Linked DNA regions of Oryzias latipes. The protein of the gene in region 1 purifies or fractionates together with the protein of each later gene. This does not show direct contact. Links are inferred from orthologs where the notes say so. Each region holds a gene or a part of one and is shown in the gene's direction. Other genes may lie near its edges.

What was found.
Region 2: the proteins of AP-1 complex subunit beta-1 (region 1) and bmp2k purify together in Homo sapiens (affinity purification with mass spectrometry; 3 studies listed by BioGRID and IntAct, with this or other methods). This does not show direct contact. The link is inferred for Oryzias latipes from reciprocal best matches to the Homo sapiens genes AP2B1 and BMP2K.

Annotation. Positions count from the first base shown.
Region 1 is NC_019872.2:25,016,897-25,032,614, forward strand, and holds the start of AP-1 complex subunit beta-1, read left to right. Parts: upstream 1-8,440; 5' UTR 8,441-8,571; intron 8,572-11,765; 5' UTR 11,766-11,783; coding exon 11,784-11,820; intron 11,821-11,955; coding exon 11,956-12,061; intron 12,062-12,174; coding exon 12,175-12,310; intron 12,311-12,512; coding exon 12,513-12,758; intron 12,759-14,059; coding exon 14,060-14,250; intron 14,251-14,345; coding exon 14,346-14,567; intron 14,568-14,791; coding exon 14,792-14,912; intron 14,913-15,163; coding exon 15,164-15,259; intron 15,260-15,570; coding exon 15,571-15,686; intron 15,687-15,718. Other genes in the region: mks1 (Meckel syndrome type 1 protein), read left to right, coding at 1-78, 2,418-2,522, 2,934-3,042, 3,158-3,214, 3,648-3,690, 3,773-3,835, 3,910-3,980, 5,043-5,112 and 5 more. UniProt on the Homo sapiens protein: Component of the adaptor protein complex 2 (AP-2). Adaptor protein complexes function in protein transport via transport vesicles in different membrane traffic pathways.
Region 2 is NC_019867.2:32,752,861-32,768,008, reverse strand, and holds part of bmp2k (BMP-2-inducible protein kinase), read left to right. Parts: intron 1-5,048; coding exon 5,049-5,167; intron 5,168-7,054; coding exon 7,055-7,160; intron 7,161-8,171; coding exon 8,172-8,314; intron 8,315-9,629; coding exon 9,630-9,751; intron 9,752-10,480; coding exon 10,481-10,562; intron 10,563-11,480; coding exon 11,481-11,613; intron 11,614-11,881; coding exon 11,882-11,985; intron 11,986-12,059; coding exon 12,060-12,139; intron 12,140-12,258; coding exon 12,259-12,407; intron 12,408-13,477; coding exon 13,478-13,626; intron 13,627-13,694; coding exon 13,695-13,838; intron 13,839-14,579; coding exon 14,580-14,770; intron 14,771-15,148. UniProt on the Homo sapiens protein: May be involved in osteoblast differentiation.

The DNA of each region.
Region 1 (15,718 bases):
GTTTGTGAGGACCAGTCGTGTGGTGAATAATGCCATGCAGACTATGCACATCATGGGGGATCTGGGCCCTCCTGGAAGGTATGACCCATAATTCTTTGTTTTTCCATTTCCTTGCCAAGATATGTATAAACTATTATCTCATCACCATCACTGACCCTTCAATGGCTGCAGACTCAGGAAAACTATCGATTTTAGTTCTTTTTTTTTTTTTTTTTTTTTTTTTTTTAACTTGTCCTGTCCAACAGCTGGGCAGGCAGATGAGAGCTGAGGGCCTCTTGTGTTGGACATATTTTGCTTTAACAAGAGGGGTTATTAATCTTCAGACAAACCAAAGGTATGTCTGAATAAACCCCTTTTGTAATTGAGGCCAAACTTTATTAATTTCAATCATGTTTGAAAATCTTTGGTGTTGGACCGGACGGAAAATGAAAGAAGGGAAGAAGAGAGAGGGACGTTAGAGAGAGGGGGGGGGTAGGAGGGTGATAATAGGAGGGGAAGGGGGGTAAGACCATGAAGCAGCATAGAGCAGACAGGTTTACTGGTTGTTTATCATTACGGTAAGGTTCAAATGTAGTACAAAAAGGGCGGGGCCTGTCCACACACACTCAAATGTTATCAACACACCTGCTAGCTGCAAAAATGTCCACATGCCAACATGTACACAAAACAGATAGTGTTCACACACGCATACTTATGCCTTTAAACCAACTAGTGTGAGATATTTCATTCATTCAATCATGCAAACTATTAGTGCAAAGGTGAGCTAACACCTGTGTTCAGGTGAGTGTTTATATTCTTCTAAAATGGATGGTGGAATGTGAAAAGAAGGAGGAGGAGCGCGATTTTAGTTCTTTTAGATCTCAGTGCAGCATTTGATACAGTTGACCACTCAATTTTATTACAACGTCTAAAATCTTGGGTTGTTTTTTTTTGCCACAGTTCTTAACTGGTTTTATTCTTATTTATCGGACACAGGTTTTTTTTTAATGTTTTCATCTGCAATTCTTGCTCATCTAAGGTGAAAATGACATGTGGCGTTCCCCATGGGTTCAGTCCTGGGATTTCTGTTATTTTCAATTTACATGCTACCACGGTAATACGCAGACATAACCTTAATTTTCATTTTTATGCCGATGATACTCAACTTTACCTATCCTTTAAACCTGGTGACCATGGTCTTTTGAAGAATCTCAATAGCTGCATTGCTGATATTAAAACCTGGATGGCCCAAATTCTTTTGCAGTTGAATATGGACAAAACTGGAGTTATTATTTTTGGTTCAGTTGAGGCCCGAAATGGTGTGGCTCAGAAATTGGAGTCTTTGTCTAACAATGTTTCTTCAAGCTGCAGAAATCTGGGAGTGAAATTTGATACCAATTTGAATGGGGAGACCCATGTTAAATCTGTGGTCAAATCTTGTTTCTGGCAAATACAAAGGTTATACAGAATAACCTCTCTCCTATCAAAAAAATGTCTTGAGATGGTGATTCATGCTTTTATTTTTTCCCGTCTGGACTATTGTAACGCACTCTACACATGTCTTTCACAGCAGAGTGTGTATCAACTCCAGTTAGTCCAAAATGCGGCCACCAGACTCCTAACCAAAACCAGAATGAGAGACCACCTCACTCCAGTTTTAGCGTCTTTGCACTGGCTCCCAGTCCATTTTAGAATAGATTTTAATGATGCATTAATAGTGCATTTAAAGCACTCTGTGGTCTGGCCCCTAAATATATAGCCGATCTCCTCATTCCTTACGTACCTGGTCGCAATCTTAGATCTTCGGCAAAAGGCCTTTTAACAATCCCACAATCTAGATTGAAGATCAGGGGAGACAGGGCCTTTGCTGTAAGAGCCCCAACACTCTGGAACAGTCTCCCTGAAGAGATCAGGCTCGCTGGGTCCCTACCATTATTTAAATCTCTTTTAAAAACCCACCTCTATAGGAGTGCTTTTAATGATTTTACCGGTTCTTAAATTTAAACATAGGATTTATTTAAATTTTTTTTTTTTTATTGATTCATTGATTTTAACTGCTATCACTGTTTTGTGTGTGTGCTGGGTTTTATTACTACATACTGTAAACTGTTTGTAATCCGGATTTTGTCTCATATTAATTGTACAGAATTTAGTAATCTCGTTTTCGAAAAGTGCTATATAAATTAAGTAAATTATTATTGGTACTTAGACTGAGGATAAAGCTTCTCTACATGTATTTTCTACATCTGAAACCAGACAAATCATTGATGTTTTGTATGATATTTTCCCTTGTGCTATTTTGTGGGGTCCAGATGCACATACCCCACAAGACAGCACAAGGGTTGTAAGAGGTAAACTTTTTAATCTCATGACATGCAGAGCTGGCCAGTGCAAAGCTCTACTAACCATTTGACAGGATGTTTATTGTGAATTTTCAGGCTTGGTCAAAAAGAGAACGAGTGCCTGCTGATAACTATAAAAACCGACGGCCATGGAACTATAGTTGTAAAACCTGACTTCAACAAAGGCCGAGAGCCCTACAGGCAAGTTTACAAGGCTTCTGTGATGGCTGAGAATGAATCCTACATTTTTTAGCGTATCATTTAACCCTTGTGCTATCTTAGATGACCCCACCCTTGCATTGACGTGTAATTCCTACCATGACAAAGGTGGATAAAGGTGGAAAGATTTCATGTAATCCATGGACACCAGTGAAGATCACAAATCATTGAAGAAAAAAAGTTCAGAGCACTGAATAGTGGGTCTAGATGACCCAACTCCCAATGGTAAAGTGCCTAGGATAGCACAAGGGATGAGTAGAATGGCAGCAGTAAGCTGCAAATCCTAAAACGATTGTATGTTTAAAAAAAGAAAAAAGCAAAGTACATTTAAAACCACAGCAAAAATAATAGAGTGAATCAGACATTTAACCGGACGTTTGTGTCGTTGGACAGGATTGTCGCTGAGGGAGAAAACCGAGAAATATGGCGTCTTACTTTTGAGAACGTATCAAAAAGCATGAAGCCAGAGGAAAAAAACAAGGAGCAGAACATGTATAAAGATGTGAGTCAATATCAGCATTTTCTAATAAACCAGGAAAGAGATTCAGAACATTTTTATTGCTAAAATGGAAGATGAAAGCTGTAATCAGGATCAACTTTGTCCCTCCTCTTTATAGCTGTATGTGAGGCACAAAGAGTTCCTCAGTGGTCTTGTTGGACAGGACTTTGAAATGGTAAGGCGTTTTTTGTTTTAAACTTTATTTTTATTGATTTTTTGTTACATGAAAACAAACCACAAACTACATTCAAAACAGAGGTCAATCCTGTGTCTATTTGTTGAAAAGTGTCCATTTTTTCCACATTCGGTGTTATTGTGACTCTTGCAGTCTCAGCCTGTATGTTATTGTTTCCGTTGAATAAATGTCGTTAATTGCTGGTAAGGCGTTTTAATGTAACGTTTTTAATTCAAATTTTCAATGCTTACCATGGTCTAAAAAAAAGACAAGTATGTTATGATCTATCAACTATATACTAAAGAGCAAATTCTTACATTTGAGGAGTTTTAGCCAAAAAAAGGTTTAAGGATTAAGGTTTAAGGATAGTTATCACTTGAGTAAATGTTGACTTGTATTTAGGTTTGTGAGCTATGAGATGTGTGTTGTTTAGCCTCCTGCAGGTACACTGCGTTACCTGATGAACGGAGAAATAGGTAAGTCAAAAGGCAGAGCTAACTTTAGCAGTTATATATATATAATACACGTTTAGAATTAATAACTACTATTTTTTTACAGTCTCAGCTCAAGGCTTTGAATATGACAACTTGTACATACACTTCTTTTTGGAATTGCCCAATAGTAAGTCTTAAGTATCAGTAGTTGTTTGATTGTTGTTTTTGCCTCTTTAGCTGTAACTGATGTTTTTCTTTCAGATTGGTCCAGTTTGCCTTCTCAGTCTCTATCAGAGGTCACCCAGACCTGTCGGACCAAGTCTCTTGAAAAGGTGTGAACGTTTTGCATACGCTTAGCTTGAAAAGCTACACAATTCCACAACAGTTTATCTAAAAAAGTCTTCAAGACTAGCAATTGCTGAGTCGACAATGAACGTCTCTGCCGAAACATACCTTTAAAAGACTGGAAAAGTAAGAGCATCAGTGTAGGAGAGTGCAGCAGAGGCTTAGTTAAAGCATAAAGCTCAGCCACAACTTGCTGTCTGTCTGCAAAATTCTGTAACTGGAAATAAAAGAATCCATAAACGGCTTTGCCACCCTGGACACACCAGTCCCCAGAAGCTAACCGGGGTAACGCCTGATTGTTTCTTTAATGAGAGATTGTCTGGGACTACTATGTGCTGTAAATGACTGCGGGCACACAGTGGGCACTCTCCAGTGTTTCCATGTGCCTGTCCCAAGTCTGGTTAAAGAACAGGGTTTGGCATCTGCTGTACAACTGAAGTCAAATGTGCAAGTCTTGACTGGGCGTCCCTTTTAAGCTAGATGCCCAAAGGAAAAAGGCCCTGTAAATGTGTAGAGACAAAAAACAAGTTTGTCAAGTGGTTGTTGCTTTAAGGTGCATCTCGGTTTTGTACTGACAATGCATTCCTGTATATTTTCTGATACTTAATGGCTTACATTTAGAAAAAAAAAAATCTTGATTGCTTGCATGTAAGAGACTAGGGAGCCGGTTTAGCTCGTGCTGGTTTGCGGCGCCTTCCGTCTGTGGAAGTTCATGTTTTACTTCGAAGCCCATCGAGACGACTGTTGTTGTGATTTTGGACTATACAAAGAAAATTGAATTGAATTGAATTGAATTGAAACCCAGGTTCAAATCCGGGCTGCTCCCTGTTCCCTTCTCTACCTCTGTGCCGGTCCCAAGCCCGGTTGCTTTGAGAGGCTTGCGTCAGGAAGGGCATCCGGCGTAAAACATTGCCAAGTTTACCATGCGGCTCGTTCGCTGTGGCGACCCCTGATGGGAAAAGCCGAAAGAGAAACAACTTGCATGTAAGAGACTAAACCACTTTTTTGAGTGGAAGTTGTTAAACCCTCAACAAACTCTCCGTCTACAGGAAGATGTGGCTTTCTTCAGCTATCCCTTCACTTTTGAGGCTCTTTATATGAAGCAAAAAGACGGTGAAGGTTAGTATCAGCTGTTAAGTATTATAGCATAGTTTATGTTTTATGAATCCAGGTTTTATCTTACTTTAGAAGGCATTCCTCAGTGGCCAGTGATTTACTTCAAGGTTCTTTCCTTGGACTTCTGGCAGCGCTATCGAACGGAAGGCTATGGTTATCTGCTTTTTCCTGCCACGCCCGGTACGATGTATTTCCTGAAATCTCATTTAAATTCAGTTTATTTTGTTACTGTTCACATTTAATCAAGGGATTTCTAAATGGTTAGTGTTTCTACATCTTGTTTGTGTTTGTATACCAGGTAAACATACCATGACATGTCACACATGGAGGCCTGTTCAGACAGGGACTGTGTCTGCAATGAAGCGCTTCTTTATTGGAGGTTCTGCTGAGCTTGAAGATGACAGTTATGTCAGAACTCCAGGAACATTCAAGGTGAATCAAAGCTGGCTCAAACAAAGTTTTAGACAATTGATGTTGATTTTTATCAGGTATAAAGTTAAATAAATATGTTGTGATTTTATCGATACATACTCCTTGGGCAGCTGGGTTTCAATTGTCAGTTGAAATTGAGTCAATCCTAACTTCAATAAAATTATTGATTCTTCCATTTCTGAAATACATTTTTGTGAATATTATTTGTCAAAGCAAAAATTAAACGTTTTCTTTTTTTAAATCACTATTTAAGTAATCCAAAAAATTGGACTTAGGATAGAAATCTGAAAACAAATTGATGATTATTTTAATTTTTGCTGCTATATATTGAATTAAATTGTACACTTTTGAATAAAAAAATCAATAATTTGCATTTACTGTGACATTCTGGTGGAAACCATTTAACGGAGTGCAAATATCAGAATAACCAACAGACTTTGAAAAAAATGATTTCTTTGGGTTTTTGATAAACAGGGACTTGCTTTTGATACATGATTGAAACAAAGGTGTTTTAGTATTTACAGTATGTGTATGTTTTTTGTTGTTATTCTCTAACATTTTTGTATCAGGGGGACAGGCTGAGTCGCTTTGGTTTCTGCACTGTAACCACAGGAAGCGTCACTTTTAACCTGCACTGCATCCAGCAAGCCAGGTGAGTGTCAGGTAAGCGTCAAACAGGTCTCAGTCTGCCAGCAACATAACTACAGTGGTCTTTTGTGTCCGTGTGTACATTTCAGGGCATTTGTGGATGCTGCTGTTCTGAAAAGGAGGAGACAGAAGGTTTTTGAGCATTTGGGAGGATTTAGTCAACAAGGAGCTGTTTGCAACATTCTGGGTAAAAAAAAACAAAAAATCCATTTGACTTCCAAGCCTCTTTGCACTGAAATTCTGGAGGTCTGAACTTTATTTAGGGATCAACATTTGTTGGGCTATTGGGATGCAATTAGGATTTAAAATGTGCTGTATTTAAATGTTAATAATAGTTTCATTTAACACGTTTCATGTTTTTCTCTGTCAGAGGCTTTTCAGAGAGCGAGGAAAAAGATGCAGGAGGCCAGAGAAAGTTTTCCGAGAGGCGTAATAAACACTGGTTCCCAACTCCAACAGGAATCCTCAGCATGAGACTGAAAACCAAACTTTCAGTGGGACTGAGTGGAAGAAGATCCTGGCACAGACTCAGAATTTTGCAAAGATGACTCTCTAGTGACCGGTCCAGTGAGCATCTGTGGAACATTTCATGTTTTAAGGATTAATAAGTCACTTTGTCAGGTTGTAATGATGCAAAACATACATCAATCCACCAAAATGTGGAAAAAGTGACCACACCTGCCTTAGAAACTACAGGCAAATTTCACAGCAGTTTTTAATGGCTAAGGAACTTGTTGAAAATCCACTCGGGAGTTTTTTTTTGTTGCAATTAACTCTTTTACAAGTTCTAAGCTGCTTTTCACCTCCTGCCCTCTACAGAAGCTGCTGCGCTCATGTTCTGCCAGTACCTACTGATGTACGCAGATACGAGAAATGTTCTGGTGCTGTTTAAATCTACTAAAGCTTACTTTTTACTGTCAGAAATAGCCTAGTGATTAACAGAATGAAGCTGAATTAGCCACTAACCAGGAAAGCCTTTGTGTCGTTTCCCTACATCAACGGGTCTATTTGGGGCAAAACAGAGACTCTTGCTTCATGTCCCTCAAAAGGATCTTCTCAGAGCTAATCTCAATTTACCTGACCCTCTGCTGCTTTACTTTAACCTGGTTCCATGAAGCACCATACCAACTTTCAGTTAAAGACATTTAGCTTTTTTCTCATTTAAACTCAGTTAAATTATTATTGATCTGCCCCTTAACAGTACAAAACTATTGTTACAGTCTACTGTAAAAATAGAAATTGAAATCCTCCTGAAACATCTTTTTCACAAATCAAGCAATCTCTATAGTCTTCTCCTTCTTTTTAGAGCCGGTCTTAAGGATCTCGTCATTCTCATTTGATCAGCCTATGCACAATTTATGCATCTGTTCTTTTGCTATACTTGATACAGGGATGAATGGTGCTTGGTTCAGAATAGGATTTTAAAAACGATGCCAGTTTGGCTAAAAGAGATCATGTTCTCAGGATTACTGTCAGGAAAAAAAAATCAGCTGATTTTAATTTGTTGGGGTAGTTTTTGCATTTTATTGCATATAATTCTACAAATAAATGTTTTTGCTACAAAATATTTGAAGTTTCATTGTTGTTATACATTTGTTATTTTAATTAAAGCAACATCCTTTTTTTTTTTAAAACAAACCCAACTTTTTATGTCATTTTTATAATTTTGAAGCCACACTGTATATAAGTTACAGGTGAAAAATAAAGTATTGGTTTCATGGATTGTGGTAGTTGACCCTAATGGGCTTTTGATAAAGCTTAATTGATTTCTTTGCTGTTTGTATGCTGTTTCTCAGTGAATATCAAATGAAAAAAAAATAGATTTTTATCTTTTGTGAAGCGTCATTTAGTTAAGAAACTAATGCATTTTATTTTTAGAGAACGTGTTCTTTGATTTTATGAGGATTTACAACACTGACCTAGGTTAGAAAGGCTTTTATGTGCTTGCAATTTAATCTTTAACTATGTAAAAAAGATTGTAATTTGCATTTTTTTCTTTTAAACTATCAATAATATAAACACCTGCAGTCTTGCACGTTTACTTGTTAAAAGTAAGATGCTCTGATAGTTTAAAACAACAAAACAACTAGCAAATAAAAACACCAACATGAACATGGCTTAAAAAATTGTCATTAATTAAGCTTCATTTTTGTTTTAAAATAAACGGTTGGGTCAGAGTTTGTGCTCCAAATCATGAAAAAAAAATTGATTTCATGTTCACACGCCCACTTTTCTGCACTCCAGTAGGAAGTTTTCCAGTTTCCTACGATCGTGAACTCACCATCTATATCCCGATTCTCCATCTTTTTCCCCACCAAGCACAGGACCAACCTACGTCTTCGACCTCTTGGACTATTTTCCGGCTCACGTAACCGCAGCCAGGTATTGAACATGAAACTGTTAAAAATGAAATACAAGTAGATATCTACACGTTTGTTTTGATTATACTTTTGAGGGAGGTGGCACAGTGACAGTCCAGCGGCAGAGTAGCTCCGTTCGTCGGTCGGTGATGTGATGAAACTGGGCCGCTTCTCGCTATTCATTTCAATGTGGAGGTTCGACTGAAAATAAACGCGTCACATACAGTTGCAAAGAAACTGTCGAAATAAGTACCCTGACATTTGTGTAAATTTGCATTTTGACACTTCGTCACTGAAGTGTAAAGGACGATGATGGTTAGCCTTTTTAGCTAATGCTAGCGAAGTGTAACGGCTGTGGCTCAACTCTAGCTAACGTTTTGTTTCGGAGAGGACAAACGGTGAAAAATGCCGATTTTGTTGTCGCAACTTGTAAAAGATTATTGGTTTAGCTTTCAAACCGGAGCGGCGAGTTGAAACCGGAAAACAAATTTGCTTAATGTGCAAAAATTAGCAGCATATCGCTCCGTTGTAGAAGAAGTTAGGGCGTGCAGCCACCATCATTCATTATTGGTAAACGTGTTACTTTTGTTTCTTTGTGGATTTATTGTAAAGACTCCGATATTTCCCGCTCAGCCGTAGATCACTAACTATCATATTTATTTATTATTGCAAAAGACAAACTGCCAATGTTGTATGAATGGTTCTTGCATGGGTGGCACTATTAAACACAAGTTCTCTCCTCATAACTTATTTATTTGGAACAACAAATATTAATATTATACAAGAAAAAATCTTTGTTTTTCCCCACATTGGTTTGAGAAAAGAATTCTACTGGTGGGCCAACTTTTTAACATGAACGGGCATTTATTAAGGTATACTGAATTCAACTCTAAATACAATCTGGTTGTGACTTCTAAAGAATATGCCATTGTGTTTGAAACCGTTTCCAAAGAAATATGCCAAATGTTTAAAACAACTGTTAGGAATGAAGAAATGCCCTCTATGGATGCAACTGACACCACCACAGGAAAAATCTGCTTTAATCCCTCACACTAGAACAAAAAACATAAAAGTACTTGTAATTTCTCTGGGACGTCATTTCTGTGCCATGTACTAAAACCTACTGGACATGTTTTGTTCCCGATGGTATTTGGAGGAAAGGTTGGAGTGTGACCCAAACATTTATGATAAATAATAAAATGAATGAAGTTTCTTTTAAAATAATTCACGAAATTTACCCCACCAATCAATTCATGCTAAGATGCATTAAATCAATTGTACCTTTTGCAAAACACAACCAGAAACAATTGGCCACCTTTTTTGGAATTGTACTGAAATTAGAATTTTTTTGGAAAAAGTGTTTACAATTGATCAGAAATCATATTCACCCCAACTTCACTCTGAAATTTGAATATATAATTTTTGGCTTTCATAATAAAAACTTGGACTCAAATAAAAAACTCATAAGTAATCTTATTATTACATTTGGCAGATTTTATATTCATAAACGCAAATTTTCTTCCTCTTCTATATTATCCCCTCTGTTAATCAAACAAATTGAAATGTATCTCAGTAACATCTCTAAAAGCCTTAATCAAAAAGCTGTATGTTTGTATGAAGGTTGTAGAAACCTGAATATTTTTATGTAAAATGCATGTAATATGTATGCTCCCCAGGCATATCTGAAGATTACTTTGCAAAATTGTGTTTTGGATTGTACTTACGTTTTGTACAATAAAGTTTTTTTTTTAAAGTAAAATAAAATGTTGTATGAATGGGGCTTTCTTCCAATCTTACTGATAAATCTATTGGTGATGCATTTTAGGACTTCTGTAAACAATCTAAAAACCAAACAATGGCTGTTTTATTGTGAAAAACTACACCCTGCTGGACTCTTTAGTCAATATGTTGGTGTGGAAAAGAGTTGTGCATTGGGAGATATTTTCTGGGATTCTGTCCTGGTGTATTTTTGTGACTCTTGTTTAGCATGTGTAAGGCAAGGATCATGCCATTGAATGAAAAGTTATTCAATATTGTTATGCTTTGCACGCCAAATACACATGAGAGTATAAAACTGTGTATATATTTTCTTAAACACTGTGTTATCATAATAAATTATTAAAATATTCTAAAAGTCGACTTTTAGAAAAAATCTGTCCAGACAGGTTTAACATAGTCTGTCCAATTTGACCATTTCTTATAAAACCTGTCTGAATTTGAATTAAGAATGAAAGCTTTTCCATAATGTCAATATTGTGAGTATAGTGACCCACTCCTCTGTTATTGGGGTTTGCTGTTTGTAGCATCTTTTTGTTTTGCAGCTTTTTGCACTTGCTGCCAGCAAGTTATGTTAAGTACAAGCATGTTAAGTACGTTTTTATCCAAAAAGTTAAATCCATCCCAAGTCCAGTTACAAAGATATGTAGTGTTTAATAAAACATATGCACATTTTTATACGGTACTCTCATGTGTATTTGGAGTGCAGAACATAACAATATTGAATACGTTTTCATTCATTCACATAATCATGTCTTGTTCATACTAAACAGCAGTCACAAATGTACACGTAAAAGCAATCTTAAACACTTTCTGCAAATGTGTGTGGGTTTCAACCCAGTATTTTTTGAACAGCTGAACAGTCCCAGAATATATGAAAGTGCTTCCACATCTCCAGCTTGCATCTCCACTGCTCTCATGCCACTTTTGAACTGGAGTGATTTAAAAAAGAAATCTTGTGACGTTTTCCCAGCAAAATTCCCACCAATAATTTGACCTGGTTTTGACCTATTTCACCTGACATGACCTTTTGCAATCTTCTTCTGAAACTGGCAGAGTCCCATCTTTTTCCCATTTTTTTCTCTACTTATTTCTTCTGTCTCTGCTCTTGTTTTTTTTTGATTATGTGCACTGTTTTCTTTTTCCTTTTTCACTGGGATTTTCCTGAGTTTAATCATTTTTCTCCCTGATATAGTTTTTGTATATAATATTTTCCTTCAATTAAGTTTATATTGAAGAAAAATGATTCATTTTATTCAAGTTACAATAAGGGATTTCAAAGATTTTTTTTAGATATTTGTTGTGCTGAAAGGCATTGACATTTAGTAGAACAATAATTGAAACAAGTTTGTAAAGAAAAGAAAAAAAAAGGAAAGATTGTGATAGGCTGCTGAGTAATTTTCTACATGTACAATCATTTACCTTTCTTTTTTTTTTTAGCCTTTAGGGACCACAATCATGACGGACTCCAAATATTTCACTACAAACAAAAAAGGTAAGTGGTTCCGGGTAGAAAACATGCCAGTTCTTACACATATTCCAAATTAAGCTAATGTAAATAATGAAATCCTTTCATATTGACCTTTTCAGATCCGATTTTAAAACAGTTGATGTATTATTCATTTTACAGGGGAGATCTTTGAACTGAAGGCAGAGCTGAACAATGAAAAAAAGGAGAAAAGGAAGGAAGCTGTGAAAAAAGTCATTGCAGCCATGACTGTTGGCAAGGATGTCAGGTACATGAAAAATATTCAATTGTATTTAATTTTTCTTATTTGATTAATTTGCAGACAACACCCCTGATTATTTCATGTTATATATTGACCACGTCCTTTTGTTTTGCTGTCAGTTCTTTGTTCCCTGATGTGGTCAACTGCATGCAGACGGATAACCTGGAGCTGAAGAAGTTGGTCTACCTCTATTTGATGAACTACGCCAAGAGCCAGCCTGACATGGCCATCATGGCTGTCAACAGTTTTGTCAAGGCAAATCCTTTTTATTAATACAAGTCCCGCAATAAGTAATTTTACCTGGAGTCTTTATCAACCAAATGACATGGGGATTGCTGTGTATAGTATCTTTTAAATTTTTTTTAAGAAAGGAGTTTTTTCCAGTCAACCAAGTTGAATCTTTTTAAACATCTGCCCGCAGTGGAATCTAATTTTTTTCTTTTCTTTTGCTATATAGGACTGTGAGGACCCCAACCCTCTAATCCGAGCTTTGGCTGTCCGCACCATGGGTTGCATCCGAGTGGACAAAATAACAGAATACCTGTGTGAGCCGCTGAGGAAGTGTCTGAAAGACGAGGATCCGTATGTGAGAAAGACGGCGGCCGTCTGCGTCGCTAAACTACACGACATAAATGCTCAGATGGTGGAGGACCAAGGTTTCTTGGACTCTCTGAGAGATCTCATTGCTGACTCAAACCCCATGGTGTGTGTTCTGACTTACTTTATAAGATTATACCTTTATATATTTCATGACAGAAAATGATTTATTTATTAAGTTATGTTTGCCAACAGGCCGAAACCCATTAAAAGGTTAAATCACAGACTGAAATCACACATTCTCATATACAATATACCAAATAAATATATAAAACAAGGTACATATTGGATTAAAGAAGAATGTAAAATGTATGGATGCTACAGACCATGGTGGATGCTTTCTCCCACTCGCACCTCAAGCACACACAGGATTCTCTCACTGAGCTAACCTTTCCTTGTAAATGAGGTCTGTACGCGTCTTCCTCTGGGCGAAAATCTCAGTGACTTTAGTGTCAAAACCCTGCTCCTCTTTTTACTTTTAGAAATATTTGAAAACCTTTTTCAGACTTTGAAGCTCTTAAAGCTCAGCTTTGGTCTTTGTTTTTAGTGAACGTCCAATTTTCAGAGACTTTTGGAGCTGGGACATTACATCCGCCATTTTTTTCAGTCTGTCAGAGCAAAACATAAAATAACACTCCTATTGAATTGGCAAAAGAAAAACAAACATGAGCTGACGAGCGCCTTCTACTGCCTGCCTCGCCTTATGCCTTCTCGGTGCGGCTTTTTGTCAGATCTGAACACTAAATTAGGGAAATATATATATAAATCCCATAACTGTTATATGGAAAGTAGAGACATGTTAAACATGTCTAGAATGTATGGTTTTTTTTAAATAAAGCATTATATTGGTAGCATGAATTAAGTTAGCAAAAGGCACGCAATCAACCCAGTTTGGAAGGGTTGGCGCCCTCCAGGGTGAGGCAGCACTCGATGCTGCCGCAGCTGCCAGCCTTTTTTGTAATGGAACAAAAAAGCACCCCAGAAAACAGAGATTTTGATCTCTGCATTGATGGCACAGATTAGTAAACAAGTATTTATAAAATCATCAGTAGCCTGTATATCTTATGACGGCGGGTGAAGCATTGCCTCCCCTGCCTGCATGTCACTGCTGTATTAAGATACTGTGGCATTTATTTTTTTCAATTATGTGAACAAAATGTAATCGTAAGCATTTATTTTGTTTAAAATATACCCACAAAGTAGTTTTTTATTTGTGTTTTGCCTTGCTGCCCCATTTCTGGAAACGTTTACATTTATGATTAACTCTGCTACCCTTCTCGTAATTTAAAGTACCGGTAAACATTTTTTTACGCCGTTGGAATTTACGCCAGATGCGATGCTATTAAAGCTAGTGCTGTTAATGTAAAGATCTTAGTAGTGAAACTGAAATCCTCTTGTGCTCTTAAGGTTGTGGCCAATGCTGTTGCTGCCCTGTCAGAGATCAGCGAGTCTCACCCCAACAGCAACCTCCTGGACCTGAACCCTCAGAACATTAACAAGCTGCTGACGGCTCTAAATGAATGCACTGAGTGGGGGCAGATCTTCATCCTGGATTGTCTCTCAAACTACAACCCAAAGGATGAACGTGAAGCTCAAAGGTTACTTTAACGCCATCTTCTTTTCATCTACTGTACACTATTGCTGTTGTTTTCTTTTTTTTTCTGGCTGACATTTTCCTGCTTTTCTTTCGAAGCATCTGTGAGCGAGTCACTCCCCGACTGTCTCATGCCAACTCAGCAGTGGTTCTGTCTGCTGTCAAGGTCCTCATGAAGTTCTTAGAGCTGCTGCCCAAAGACTCCGACTACTACAACATGCTGCTGAAGAAGTTGTCCCCTCCACTGGTTACCCTGCTCTCTGGAGAACCAGAGGTCCAGTATGTGGCTCTGAGGAACATCAACCTCATTGTTCAGAAGAGGTGTGTGTGATCGGACCTACTAAGTTTCTAATACAGAAAACTAAGAAAAAGCTTTTTTATCTTGTACTTTTGACAGTTTTGCAGCGATTTTGCCATTTAAAAAAGTATGCAAAGTGGCCTAAAGTTTTTTTGAAATAAAAAACACATAAAATGTCAGAATTTAGTAGAAGTACATCAAGCACCAGATGGTAAAACTGAATATTTATTGTCTAAAATGTGTGTAGGCCCGAGATCCTCAAACAAGAGATCAAGGTGTTCTTCGTCAAGTACAACGACCCCATCTATGTGAAACTGGAGAAACTGGACATTATGATCCGCTTGGCTTCCCAGGCCAACATCGCCCAGGTATCTTAAATGAAAAGCATCTCACTATGATCGTTGTTATGTAGATTATTTACCCGTGTTAAACACGATATAGACCTTATTAAAGATTGAAACATAATGGATTCCAGATTGACAAAGTGCAAGTTTTTACTTTAAGCAGACGAGTCATCATTTGGTTAAAATCCAAAGCATGTGTGTTATCTAAGCAGCACAGACATGAAGTTGTTTATGTTTATGTCGAATTTAAAGTAATTTACTTGGTTTACTTGCAGGTTTTGGCTGAATTGAAGGAATATGCCACAGAGGTAGACGTTGATTTTGTGCGGAAGGCGGTTCGAGCGATCGGACGCTGTGCCATCAAAGTGGAGGTAGGAAAGGTCCCATGACGCTGTAAATCATTTCACTCTCTGTCCGTTTTTCATCATCTGCGTTTATATTGTAATATTTTGCAACAGTTTATTTAATCTTCTGTGCGCAGGGTGAGTGTTTTTGAAGGAAGTAAATGTTTTTGTTGTCGGTTTCTTTAGGTGTTGTCAAAATGTTATAGACAGTGTGTATCAAATGAATACGTTCATTTATTAGTTTACTGTTGACAGTGCTGCTGAAAACGAAATGTTTGTGAGTTTTTTAAAGGCTTTTCATCATGAAGACATGCTTCATGTTTGCTGTTCTTCTCCAGCAATCAGCTGAGCGCTGCGTCAGCACCCTGCTGGACCTGATCCAGACTAAGGTCAACTACGTGGTCCAGGAGGCTATTGTGGTCATCAGAGACATTTTCCGCAAGTACCCTAACAAGTATGCGTCCCGTCAGAGCTCAAATATTAATT
Region 2 (15,148 bases), on another chromosome or scaffold:
TTGTAATCGTTTTGAAATGCGCCAATATGTCTTAACATCATAGATTCACAGTAATCCTGACCCCCACCATCTGTTAAAGATGTTGAAAGGCAAGCTGAGTTTTATTTTGAAGGATCATCCAAGCATGTTGATGAGTATTGATCAACTCCATTCACTCATATTATATTAGACTGTACTTGGTGATAAGATAATTGAACGGTTAATAAATACCCTTCTGTGCTGAGGCAGCATGAGAACATGAACACCTCATGCATGGTGAGTAATGCACGTCTGACAGTCTGCATGGAAAACCTGAGGATCTGTCAGAGGTCATCAAAAACAACCTGACCACACACACGTCATTCAGTCTGCTCTTTGTCCTTTTAAAGCTTTTAGAAAGCAGTTGAACCTTACCTCACCTGAGATTTGACTGTTTTCAGTCTTTGATTCTGTTTTGGTTTAACTAGAGAGAATCAGAACCAACGTGTCAACCTGGACATTCAAACCAGAGACGTGCTGATCCGAATCCCCCGTTTGGTTCCGAGTCATTTGATACAGATATCGAGGCCTGATCTGATACTTTTGTAAAACATTAAAAACAGTTATACACTGACCCAAGTTCTTTTATTAACCTTCTTTATTTTTAACACTTCTGTGTAGTAGGTTCAACAATAACGTATAAAACAGTGAAACTATTGACTAGAAAAGCAACGTCGGTTTGTCTACATTGCAGGATTGTTGCTGTGACTTGATCACTCGCTGGGATGCTTCTGTTGCGGCGGTGAAAGATTTGAACTGGGTGTAGTTTGGCACTAAGATTGTAGGTTAAAAAGCTAATATACATCAGAAGCCCTAGACAAGTACAGATAAAGGGGAAACACGGGTGTTTTAAAATGACCGGCTGTCTTCCTCAAACAAAAACTACTTTGGCATTTTTATGCTACAGGGAAATTCTCTGCAGCACAGTGAGACAAAAAGCTCCTCATTCAGTGTCTGCAGGACATCAGGAACACTGAACACTTTCCTGGAAAGAAACGTGACAATCAACACAAGGTCAGACTCTCCACATTCAGAGTTTGCCATGTAACTCATGTTCAGTGTACACATTTTATGAGCCATTGACATGTGGCGCGAAACCGAATTCCAGCAGCACAACATTTTTCAAATGTTTACACTGGAACTCAGTTGGAATATTTCTATTTAGCGTTGGGGTCCTTTGAATCTGGTTCCTACATTAAAGTTGAGCTTTCCCTTCAAAAACCTCCTACATATATCTCTATGTGGAAGAGAAAAGTTTTTACCTAGGAAATGCAATATTGATAGAATAAAGCGATCAGTTTTTATGTAAAATAAACGTGTTCCAGCTTTTGTAATGGTTTGCATCATTGAAAATCTTTTAAAGAGGCTGAGAAACTCACCGTCTGAACGACTGGTATACAGTACTGGTGATGAGCCGGCACAATGTGTGTCTTTGTTGTAGTGCTGTAGCAGCCTGTGAGAATGGTGGTGCGTTTCAGTGCTCTGTTCTGTTGTGGGCTTTGCGGCCTTTGTGCTTGCTCACTGCAGCTCCTGTAACACCACCCCTCCTCATCCTGGGAGAAAACTTGTTTTACCATCTAAGGTGCACATCGATCCCTGAATTTCGGCAATCTGGCAATGCCTCAGGAGTGCAACGTCCTGAAAACGTTGTGCTGGTTCGTCTACAGACCCTTGAAGAAATGAGGAGTTCTTGGTCAGTGTTCAGAGAACATAAATAACAAAAGCAATTTTACCACTCATGGTGATGGGTGAAACCATTTGTCAACAAATTCTGTTTATGTAGGTGTGTGTGAATGCGGGGGCCCTGGGACAAACTGGGGACCCGTCAAAGGTGTACCCCACTTTGCCCAATAGGAGTTGGGACAGGCTCCAGCAACCCCAGGACCTTGAAAGGGATACAGCCCGTTAAGAAAATAGATGGATGGCATTGTTACCTCTTTATGTTTTATTCTCATCAAGACTTTCTGTCTGTTCAATCCAGTAGATCTAATTTGACTTGGTTAAAAAAAACTCTTTGTCTGCGTCCACAGACGGTCTTATGAACGAGGTGGGGCTTTTTCCAATGACCCCTTTTCCAGCTGCTGATGCAGCCACTAATGGACTCGTCTGGCAGACTGTACTACCTGCACTAAAGCATTGTTGTTCTCCTGCTGGCCAGTGCGCATGTTTTGGTGTTCATGCTGTGCATGATTATGACCATTTACCTACATTCACTCACCAGTGAATTAAAGAAGGGTCTGTAAGGACATAAAGACAATTGTTACACATTTGGTCATATTTGTATTTTTTCCACCATGGTCCGACTTTCAGAGAACGGTGTTTTCTTTGCGATTTGATATACGGTGTGGTTTTACTCTGAACCTTTTTGAGTGATGGACATGTGGCACGAGGTGTTGCATATCTGGGATTATAACTATGGGGGTTGGCTCTGGCTTGTTTTTTTATGATCACAGTAGATCTGTATTGCATCTGAGTCGGTCATCGTATTGACCCTGTTTAGAATAACGGCATTAGTTTTCAGTAACTAGCCAATCTAGATTGTTCTGTTTTTGCATTGCTGTTACTGTTGCTAGATGCTAACTGTGTTCTGCTTCTATGAATTGATTACAGGTAGATATGCTGTGCAAACCAGGGGTGTAATGATTAATTTCAACAACAATTTGATTCATATCGTTTGTGGCTGAAACGATTCATAGTCTATATTGTTTAATTTTCAATTAACCAATACTCCATAGTTCATGGTCCAATTTCCACGGGCACGCCGTGGGTGGACGGCACAGATGGCGGTCTTTGCTAACCAGGGCCTTGACCGTTCCAGTGTGGAAGTCATAGGTCTGATTTGTTTACAGTGATCCCTCGCTATAACACGGTTTACTTTTCATGGATTTGCATTGTGTTCTGCATTCTGATTGGCTAAAAAGTCACTCCGCTTCTTCTCTGCCTGTGCGTCAATAACGCTGTAGTTTAATATGTACACATACGTAAAACAGCTTGCCAAATTTACATCGTATGTGCAAATAATCTTGCAATTTGGAGTTTCTCTAAAACCCAGAGAAAAAAGAGCGACAACAACTGTCAATCACTGCGTTCTTCTCCTGAACAAACACAGCTGCACCGCGGGCTTCAGAAGAAGAAAACACTGCAGAGGGGAGTCAGGATGCAGCGGCTCAGTCTGAAGAGCTGTGAAACACACCTGAGTCACTATTTGTCCCACTGTACTGTGTCTTTTAGTCATAATCATTTTAAATTTTCTCCCGGTTAATCCAATTACTCGGGGGGCGGGGCTAATGGGCGGGGCTAATCTCCGCAATTTGAAGCCGTGTGTTCACATTGATGATTAAAATTATTATTTGACAGTACAGAAGTTACTTGTTGAAAAAACTTCTCTAAAGTACTTTGATCTGTGAAACAAATGCTTGAGCCTGTAAAATGGTTTATTCTGTCTGTTCAATGTATAATAGAGTTTTTAATTGTATAATAATAGTTTAAAAAAATAGATGTTTCTACTTCACGGATTTTGCCTATCACGGGTTCTTTTTGCAACGTAACCCCCGCGAAAAACAAGGCTTTACTGTATTTGGTTTGTCAAAGATTTCATGTCGGATGCTGTTCCTGACACGACCCTCTGTATTTATCCGGGCTCGGGACGGCACAGTGAAACCCTGGCTTGGGCCCTCGTGGCTACACACAATTGGAAAAACATCTTGTAGTTTGCAAAACAAATGGGTTCAGATGTGGTTCCAGGAAGCTGTTGGTTTTTTGGAAGACTTGTTCTCCTGTGCTTTGTTACACCTGCTTAACTGCCTGTTCCTGTTGCTCTGTTGGCTTTCATTTGATTAAACCGATTCTGCCATATTAAATCAGTCGTCCAGACACTGATGGTCCATGTCTGGCCCTGTTTGTGTCTGTATCTGCTGTTTTACTGCATTTTGTCTTTTGTTTCAAGGAGCAGACAAACTCTGAGCAGTGGAGATTTTTTAGCTCTCGCAACTCCAGCTTTTTTATCTTTGTTAAATTTGTGGCTCATCTGCACATGCAGCTATTGTGTAACTCCACTTTTGCCCCTAGGAAACATGTTTTAGTTCATCTAACTTAGCGCTGCTGCAGCTCTAACCCCTCTGTTTAATCTGATAATGTTTGCTGAAGTTACACTCGCTGTTGTAAGTGCGCACAAACGAACCTTAAAGTCCCACGCCATCATCTTTTGATCTATTGTCAAAGCAAACATAAAGACGTTAGTACACCTCTTTGTCTGCAGTGTGATCGGAGTGGTGGTGTAGTAACTGTGATGGGCGGGGCCAGCTTATCCATGCTCCGCCCCTTTCTGATCATCCACCTGCAGACCAACAGATCCATGAACGTCTTTGTTTTCCCGGTCTGAGCTGGAATCTGGATCAGAACTGGACTGATGATAGATCAGCTATTGCTGGTCATTTTTGTTACACTGCTAATGTTGGCTTGGGGTTGGAAGGGGCTGTAAGCTAGTGGGAGAGCATGTAAACAGATGGATGATGGGAAAGGTAAACTTTGGAAGTTTAAATGATTGCACTGTGCTGTTATCTCTTTTCTTTTCATACATGGCCTTCTGCACCTCTGTGATCAGCCCACCTTTAGATTGATTCCTCACCGGGTCCTTTCTGTCCAGTGTTTGCATGTTCTGTGTTTGCATGTGTGGGTTTTCTCTGAAACCAAAGAGAGACTGTGTTCCTGTGGTGGACCTGACTTCCCTGCAGCCCCCCTGTAACCCTGTCTGAGTTGGAATTGGTGATGGGGGAAGGAATCTTTTGTGTTTCCTGTAGAAATGACTGGAGAAAGTGATGCAATGGTAGATATTGTTGTACTTCCTGCTGCGACGGCTTGATCTGCCCTGGTCCAGGAGCAGGCGGTGTGGAGTCTATGGGGCTACGATTACCGACCGCAGGCACAGCAATGCTGCGGGACGCCGTGCTGTACAGGCATGATGCTGAGAAAATGTCTCACTTCATCCACAAAGAGTGGTGTGCCTAAACTTTACGATGTTTTTCCTGCAGGAGGATTTTCTGTGGTGTTCATGGCCCGAACGCACAGCGGCGTCCGCTGCGCTCTCAAAAGGATGTATGTGAACAACGTGCAGGACCTGAACGTCTGCAAGAGAGAGATCACTATCATGGTACGGCTTTGGTCACGAGCCAGCGCTTCAGCTGCAACAGTTATCTTCTTCTCAGCTGAAGCCTTTTGAGCTGCATTCCGGTGCTTTCCTTCATAGAGACGTTCTTTGTAGTGAAAGGCATCTCTCTAAATACATATGTAACCTGCAGATCTCCAGTAGAAAGTGACCCAGCAGGACTTCACTGTTCAAGCAAGCACTGATATGAATGGACTTCATGTTTCCTTTGAGCAGCCAGTCATAATGTAGAGTGACCAGAGGTCCTGGTTTAGGGAGGAGGCAGAAACTCCTGTTGGCTGCTCACACTCGCCTGTCCCTCTTCTCCCCCACGCTCAGGTCCTCTCCCTTGATGGGCTCCAGGTAATTGGTGGGCCCCGCCCAGGAAGAAAGTCATTTTAGCCACACAAGAAGAAACAGAAATGCACATTTTCATGGAAACTGTACATTAAACTGCTGTAAACAAACAGACATAAAATAATAAACAACTCAAATCATTACAAACCACAATGGTAATCAAACAAATCCAACCCCTGCCCCCCCCCACTTTCTTATGCCCAACCCCCAAACAGGAAGTGAAGGCCGCTGCCAGAAAGGAGAGCTGAGAAACCAGAAGTCAATAAACAAATTTAAACCTGTGTATGTTCTGGATCCGCTCAGCGGGGCTGGGACAGACGGGTGATAAGTCGACACAAGCTGCTCACAGAAACAGTTTTACATTTAGATGGAGACAAAATCCAACCATAACTTCCTGAAAACCTCCTGTCATCCCTTGTTAAGCACACGTTGCTTAGCAACAGTCAAATCAGGGACAGCTTTAAAACTATCGATGCTGGTGGGATTTCAGAACAGACGTGTTCATATTTGAATTTTGAATTTCCATTTTGTGTAAACTAAGAATGCCTATACATTGAATAAGGTACCTCTATGTTTAACAGAAGTCACAAACATGCTGGAGTAACAAGCTTGTTTCTATACAACTTTCATCCAGACCATAAACTTGCCCTTTTAGGTCTCTAATGTGCACTTTACAGTAACATTAATGTTGAAATGAACACTAAAAATCATTAAAAGAAGACAAAACTTCCAAAGCGATGTGTGTGGCAGAAGTTCCCGTGAGGTCATGTGATCGATGGCTTCCTCTTTAGACTCCAGTATTTCCAGTTGAGCAGCTCTGACAGGCCTCTGCTTCCCAGCGAGGCTGAAGGAGCACAGCAGTAGCCAACGTTGGCCTCTGGTATGTGTGAGAGCTGTAGTAAAGTGCTGCAGACTGCAGAGGAGCATCCGCCTGCAGCTCCGTCTGCTTCTGTCTGCACGGCCTCGTCACCTGGAACACGGACTTCCACCCCTGCACTTGCCTCAGGTGTGTCCGTGTTCACAGCTCTCAAACATGCCGGGAACTGGGGATGGAATTAACCTACAAAAGTAGGAGGCAGGAAGGAGGATAACAAATGGCAACACATCTCACTATTTCATCTTTTACAGGGTTTAACCCTTTTTCACCCAAGATGCCGCTGGCAACACCTGAACAACACGCTCTTTGATGTAAATCTTTGACCGTTCACGGAATCGCCATGAATCCGCTGGTTCTGATGCGACGTGATGTCATAGTGGCACATTACTAACATAAGGTGTTGTCTAGCTGCTTTTCTCTGCAGCAGAATCACTTCACTGCCATGCGGTGTTGGTTATCAGCACTAGGCTGCTTTTCCCGCTCCAGAATCCTCTGGAACTACCTTCAGTGCAATAAAGCAGTACGATGGTGGATAGAATGTCAACACTGGAGCTGATTCTCTGCTGTTGAAAGGGTTAATCTGTCTAAACCCCCCCCGGTCAGTATTGCTCATTTGTGCTCCTCAGTGTTTTGCCCTGAACTCTCTGTCTTGTGTGTAGAAGGAGCTGTCAGGCCACAAGAACATCGTCACCTACCTGGACTCCACCATCAGTTCTTTTTCAGACAACGTTTGGGAGGTCCTGATCCTCATGGAGTTCTGCAAAGGTACGGCCTGTGTTTGTGCACAGAGCTTCTAACTGTGTCTGTGTCTCTCCAACTACCATGAAACTATAACACGCGGGGCGGTGTAGTGCCCAGGATTTTAAAAGCAATACGCACCGACCACACGCTCACTGCTTTGGTCTTTAAACTGCGATTATGACGTCACCCATTTCACAAAGTAAAATTGTGTTTTAGTGTTTTATGACTCTTTATGAACTGTCCTGATGATTAAAACATTGATGATTTATTAAAAAATACATTAAAATAGTTTTTCTGCAGAAATTGTTCAGACACATTGCATTGTGGTCTATGTATGCCAGTCTAGTGAGCATCGATGCACACTGGCTTGTTGCAGAGACTTCTGGGTTGTTTCTAGGGCTCTGGATTTTGGAATTGTAGGTTCGGACAGCACTAGAAAACGGCGAACGCGCCATACAGCGCAGGAATTCAGACACAACAGAGAGATTCTGCTTTTCTCACATGACCTCAGATAGTATGAAACGAAAGTAGAAAGAGATTAAGCAGAGGAAGAACTTCTGCAAAACTCTTCTCCTTCCTTCAGACTTTCAGTTTTTCTGCTGGGACACGGCGTCTGTGAACAACCAGCCTCCCTAGAACTTTAGTGGTCTTCCAGACTCTGGAGGGGTCAGCGATGGTCTTCTGATAATGTCTGAAGTCTTCTGTGTGTTCCACCAAAATGAGACAATTCAATGAGACACGGTGAAGCTTGCAGACAGTTTGTTGGTGAAACTGTTTAAAAACGTATACTTTCTGTGTAACATAAGTTCCATTGCCAACAAAGAAGTGGGCTTCAGACTTGGGCATCAATGCAGACGACTCTTTTTGGTCAGAGATTTGCTCAAACACTTTTTATGAGCGGGAACCGATTGAAATCGTAGAGTCCTGGATCTATATTCTATCTGGCTTGTTCGGTGACTCTTGCAGCTTTTTTCTGTCCCTTGTTGAACCCGTTCTCCAGCCTTGGTCTTGACGTTTCTGTTGGTGCTCCTGCAGCGGGTCAGGTGGTGAAGCAGATGAACCAGAGGTTAAACGTGGGCTTCAGTGAAGCTGAGGTCCTCCACATCTTCTGTGACACCTGCGAGGCCGTGGCTCGCCTGCACCAATGCAAGACGCCCATTATCCACAGAGACCTGAAGGTGAGACGCCGTTTCCCCTCTCCTCACCCTTTGGGGCTCTGAACTCACCTGTGTGCAGCTAACTTGAGCTTTGGATGGTTTTGCTGTAAGGTTACAAGGGTTTTTCACCTTCACTGAGAACCATGCCAACTGTGGTCAGAGAGTCTCCACAGAAAGGACACTTCATGTTTTCGTTGATATTCGGAAGTGAACGCTCAGGTTCAGTGTTACATCCAGGCTCTTAGATCAATCTGTGACTTTGGATATAATACAGACCTGGTGAAGTGGGGGAGTTTAGAGAAGTCGGCGTCTGTCTCCAGAGTTGCTGCTCTGCTTCTTGTTGGCGTGCTTCAGCGCGTGACTCGGCCTGCGATTCTGACGCCTGTCAGACTTTAGCGTGACAGCGCTGCAGACGACAGCAGCCCCTGCAGTGCATCGATGTGTTTTAGTCTCTGATTTCCAAAGGTCAAAGTTCGTAATAAATGTTTCCACTGAGCAAAGAGCTGCCAGGACGTTTCTGAGGAAGATGGACATTCTGAGCCTCATGCAGAAGCTGCATCGTCTTTCACACATTCCTGCCAGAAGAGGGCTGCGTTTTGATGACACTGCCAAGCTTGAAGCGTCACGCGTGATCAGGAACTATGGTCCCAGGATTTCTCACTACCAACCTTGTTTCACCAAAAACAGGGTGGATCTGCCAGACTTTGGGAAATCCCTGTCCAACCGTCCGTTCATGTGGTTCTTTTTATATTGAGTCTGCATTTACTGATGCTCAGCAACTGATGATGATTTCCTGCTGTGGCTGTACCCCCCCCCCCAGCGCCCCGTCAGTGGGAACGGTCCCTTCAGCCCTCTGTTGTCTGTCGGCTCAGCTTGCGTAACGCCGCAGGGACACAAAGGAGCGCGGGGGCCCGGCCCCGCTCTGCCAGGGGAAGTGAGAGTGCAGAAAAGTCCCCTGACGCTCAGAGCATGAACGGCTTTCTGTCAGAGGTTCGGTCCTCTGATCATCAGAGATCCTCAGCGTAGCGTCATTTAGGTTCCTCTCCCCTCCTCTGCTTTCTTTTCTTTGCGTTCTTTTTGCTCTGATTCTTGGCCGTGCGTTTCTTCTAGGTTCCTCGTCACACGGCTCGTGTTTTGTCTGGTGGTGGTGCTCCAAAATAAGAAAACGGTGACATGGATCAATGCTGATGTTCTGAGCTTCTATGTTGTAAAGATTGGAGTGTGACACATGCAAAGACATGGGACTCTGACGTTCAGTCACCAACACGTCTGTGAACATGCTCGTCACTTCCTGTCAATGACGTTTCCTGTGTTTGTCCTCTAAACGCCTGCACAGGTGGAGAACATTCTGCTGAACGACCAGGGGAACTATGTGCTGTGTGACTTTGGCAGCGCCACTCACAAAGTCTTACTGCCTCACAAGGATGGAGTGACAGCTGTGGAGGATGAAATCAAAAAGTGAGTATTGTTCGGCTACACCTCTGACTACAAAGGAGGATGGCGGTTCTCTGCATGACTCAAACCATGCAGTGTCAGTGTCAGGTGGTAATCTGCTTCATTCCTGTCCGTCTTTGTTCTGCTCGGAGCAGCACTCCGTCATAACATTACAATAAAAGCTTCATTTCCACCATGGATTTGGATCTCTGATGGGCAGAAATCGACCTTTGATCCCTTCAATCTCACAGCTTTAATCAGCAGGAATTCTGCTGGATGCTTCACTCACTAAAGGAAAAGGAGGATTTGTAAATCGGGCTAAACGTCTGATTTGGTCTTCATCAGTGCGGGTCATGTGGACCCACAAGACCATCCATGTTTGCTGCTAGTTGGTTTTCAATAATGGCAGCAACCTTTCAAGACGGATCAGTGGAAGAGAGAATAAATATGTGACTCCACGTTCAAGGCAGATGAGTGACAGAAAGGTTAGAGACCCTCCTGTGTGGGGTCAGAGGTCAGAGTTTGTATGAGGTTCATCAGAGCGTGTGAGCCAGAGATCCTGATGGACTCCTTTATATTCTGTAACAAACCCTTCTTGTCTCATCATTCATTCTGCCTGAAATCTTTCCACTGATCCATGATGAACTGCCTTTCTAAGTCCTGGTATGTTTTCGTTCTCCGCTCGGTGAAGTGTTGTTATGACCTCCGGAGACCTTTGACCCGTCGCTGACACGCCTCGTGTTCCTCCTGCAGGTACACCACATTGTCCTATCGGGCTCCAGAGATGATTAACCTGTATGCAGGAACCGGCATCACCACCAAGGCTGATATTTGGGTAAGACCCAAATATGGTTGGGTGTGCAGCGTCCTCCACACCACAAGCAGGACTCTGCAGTCCCATTCAAGCCTCCTGTGTTTGTCATCAGACGCTGGTGTCCTCGGTAATGCTCAGAGTGGGCTTTAGCTGTTTTCTGGGCACCGTGGTCAGAGCTGGAATCAGATGTTTTAGTGTCGCTGCAGGAATGTGGCTGTCGCTGACTCATCAACTGCACATGAATCACATCAGCTGTACTGTTTGGCAACTTCCCCCTGCAGTGACACTTCCTGTTCTTTCCAGGAAGTGACTCTATATGTTGAGCTAAGGAACAGAATCAGGTTTCTGTGGTGTGGATCCTGTCTGATCTACTGGATCAGCTGTGTGAAGAGTTTGTTCCAATCGTAGCAGATGAAGAAGAGAGATCTTCTTTACTCTGGCTGGTTACAGACACACCGTATTCTCCTAGAAAGGTGACGTCCACCAGAGCCAAGCTGAGAGCAGGTCTGCATGAGGACGAGGACCAGAACAGGTCATTTTTAGAAAAGCTTCGGTTTCTTGAGCTCAGCTCCAATGCTTCTTCAGAAGAGCTGTTGTTTCTGACTCTGATAAAGGCCTTCATGGCCTGTCTAACAGGCTGGAACAGGTGAGGGGCGGTCCTTCAGGTGCAGGCGTGGCTCACAGAGCCGGCTCCTCTGGTTCTCATGTGCTCGACAAACGTGTCCCAGAGGTTTGATTCTCCTGTTGTGGAGACGCTGCAGTCATTTGAGTCGTCTGTCAAAATCCTGGTCTTCTGCTTTTTCTGTTCTGCATTCATGCTGCAAAGTCCAGAGCCTGTGACCCCCCCCCCCCCCCCCCCCAGCACCTGAAAGACGGTGTGATGGTGGTGTGGGCCCACACATGCATGTCCTCCTGAAGGCTTCCTGCTCTTCTCCTCAGGCCCTGGGATGCTTGCTGTACAAGCTGTGTTTCTTCACTCTTCCTTTTGGGGAGAGCCAAGTTGCCATTTGTGACGGGAGCTTCATCGTTCCGGATAACTCCAAGTTCTCCTGCAGGCTGCACTGCTTGATCAGTGAGTGGCTGATGTTGGTTCATGTCCCCTTCCAAAGGCTGCCGGTTCAACCTGGCGTGAGGCGGGTGACCCAACATGCCGCCTGCAGCGGGTGATCGTGTGGAACAGTGGACTGTGGTCTTTGTTCCGCCGCGCTAACAGCCTGTTTGAACCGGTTGACTTTGCTTTGATTGACGCCCCCCAGCAGGATGTCCACCCCTGTTCAATGTTGGATCAGCAGCACCACCAAGTGGCCAAAGTTAAAGATGCACTTTTGTGTCTGCTTCAGGATACATGCTGGAGCCGGACCTGGAGAAGAGACCAGACATTTACCAAGTGTCCCACTTTGCCTTTAAGTTAGCGGGAAGAGAGAATCCGGTACCAAACCTGTGTGTGAGTGTCTGCACTCGCCCCACTGGCACTTTTGCACCTGTGCAGGTGTTGACGGTTCTGTGTGTGTTCTGCAGAGCTCAGCCATCCCCACATCGCTCCCGGAGCCGCTCACAGCCAGCGAGGTTGCTGCCAAAAAGAATCTGACAAAAGCCAGGTGGTGTGGCTGTTCCTGCAGGCTAACACTTCCACGCACACCGCCACGCTGGTTACAACATCACAGACGGTTTGGAGGTTTGTTGGTTGTTGGGTTAAAGGTCAAATTCTTCTGTCCAGGATAACCGACTCAGTGGTTCCAACTGAGACCTCCATAGCTCCTAGACAGAGACCAAAGGCTGCAAACTCCAACGTTCTCCCCCTCGCCAACACCGTCACCCCGGCCAAGATGACCGTGCCTTCCACAGCCGTCAGCAACGGCCAGAAAGGTAACGGATGGGTCCAGTGTGACGGCACAGCCATGGTTTAGCCTGTTTCATGCTAACCAGCTTGGATTTGAACTGCAGCTTTTTAAAAAAAGCTTTAAAGGTTGGCATGAAAGCAAGGCTGCAGAGCCAAAGCAAAGACGACGTGCACAGACCAAAGCACCTCCTCCTTGTTCATTCTGTACCAATAAAGGGAGGAAGCTGTTTGGAAGCAGTCATGGCAGTATTTCTATTCACTAGAACTGAAGTTTTCATCCACATTATCTGTTTTGATCCATGCATTCAGACTCTTTTTTTATTAATATCTGTGAGGAAACTGGAGATTCTAAACAGGACTGTAAAATAGGTAAATTAGGCTGGTTCGTTCCTTTCAGTTTCCTGCACACAGAAATGAATGAATAATGACTCAGAGACTAAACTTAGCTTCAGTGAAGATTTACTCCGCACAAATTTGTACGAAGGGTTACAGACAGATGAACAGGGTTGCTGCATCAAAGTCCAAACAACGGAGCTCAAAGTCTGAACAAAGAAAACAGGGAAATGGGCTTGGTATGTGAGCCCTGCATTTGCATATTCAGAAGGTCTTCCAACGCACAACGATGTGAAAATCACAGCCACAGACTGTTGCAGGCTAGGTGCTCGAAGGTCAGAGAGCTTAAAGTGTCAGATCTCTCTGAGGTCACAGACATCTGCCAGGACACCAGCACACACAAAGATGAAGGGGAGGAGACTGAAGGAATGTCACCAGACAACAGTCTTGGTTGTGCAAATGTAATATAATTTTGAGGTGATAATACATAGTGAATCAAGTTTAAACCATCAGTGTAATAAAAAGTAAAAGTTAGTGTAATAAAAGGTAAAGGGGAGTTTCTAACTTTTCTGTTTCTAATTATTCCTAACAATATCCTTATTGTTGTACCGTTTGGTTACAATAGGTGTCACTTATGGCATTTCTTATTTCTTTGACTTGATGAAGTATTTCAGCTTCCTTTTCTGTCAACAATCACACCAGCTTTTTCCCAGGAAAAGCCTTTCTGCTCGTTTTCACCACACTCTTCATTTGGACCCCTCAGCCCCCACTACCAGCTCTGGACAGCCTTCCATGCAGGCCCAGCCGAGCTGTCTGCAGAACCGAATCCTGCAGCAGCTGCAGCCAGGTGATCTGCGTCTGCAGCAGCTGCAGCAGCAGCCTGCAAATGTGCAGCAACTCCAGTACCTGCAGGTACGGACACGCACAGCTCAAGGTTTTGGGTTTTCACACTGAGCTCTGACGGACATGACTTTGCTCAGTACCAACAGGCAGTGCAGCAGTCCCTCCAGCTGCAGCAGCAGCAGCAACAGCAGCAGCAGGTCTTGCTCCAGCAGCAGCAGCAGATGATGATGATGCATCCCATGTACCAGCAGCAGGTCGCTCAGGCCCAGTATGCGGCTATGGTGAGTTCTGGAAAGAGTCTGGATTTGACCCAATGGCTGCCAGGACGCAGTGTACTCAGTGAAAAACTGCAGACTTCATCCAAACACATTGAGGCGCAGCGTGAGGTCCATGATCCATTCCATGTCAGAACGGATCCGTTTTGTTCAAACCTGGCAGCAGGCCGTCTTCACTCTTCACCAGCCACTTGCCAAGCAGCATCACAAGCAGACGCTCAAACTTCCTGCTGAAAATCCGTATTTACGCAGCGACGGAGTCAAACACAAACACAGGTCCTCCAAACATGCAGGAAGGGTGGCTCCATTTTTAGCCCGCTCTCCACCAACTGCACACCATCTGCTCCACTTCAGAGGCAATCTGGTTCCAGCAAAGCCACCAGGACTCTGGAAGGCTTCAGTCTAGCACCAAAGGGAGGAGCTTCCACTGACACCTCCGGTTCTCAAGACGCCGCCTGCCCCGGCGCTTCCTCACTGGTCCACTGTGGCCTTTGGCTCTGGCCTCATCAGGAGCACAACAGTCCTGATCGGGCCCTGACCCAGAAATCTGCTAGAGCTGTAATGAAACGGCCATGAATGCATGTTTTCATGTATCGTGTTTCTTCTCTAACAGATGTTAACGCTCAATAACCATTTGCTGCTGTGTGTTTGAGGACTTGAACTGTTTTGAAATGTTTTCTTTCATTGCATCTCCATGAACTCAGTGGTCCGCCCCTCATTCCCTCCCTCCTCCTCCTTCCCCAACAGCTGCACCAGTACCAACAGTCGTTTGTGCAGCAGCAGCAGCAGCAGCAGCAGCAGCAGCAGCAGCAGCAGCCTCTTCCCTACACATCTTCCCCTTTGGAGTTCCTGGGACCCTTTAATGCCTCCACTCCCACTGCTGGGGCCGCTCAGATGGGAGGACCGTCGGCTCTGGATCCTTCATACGCCACCCCCAGGTAACATACCGGATTCGCCTGTGGGTGGGAGGGGCAGAGTCACTGCTGCAGCTTCAGCTCATATTGAGAAGATTAAACATCTCTTGAGGAACTGTGTTACTATGGCAACACTAAAAGTCAATGGACTCAGAGCTGACCATTTCCCTTTGCTGCTCCCATGTGACGCTTTGCTGAGGCGTTTCACTCCGTCTAAAAACTCCAGGTGGATTGTGGCCACACCGTGTGGTGTGGAGCTGACCACTGATCAGGGTATGGTGGCCCCAGAGGTCTAAACAGGAGGAGGGTTTGGACACCGGGGAAAATGGGATAGAATGTCGGTTGATGCTCAGTAAATGATGTCTGCCATTTGCTTTCACTTTTTCAAATGCTTTTTTATTT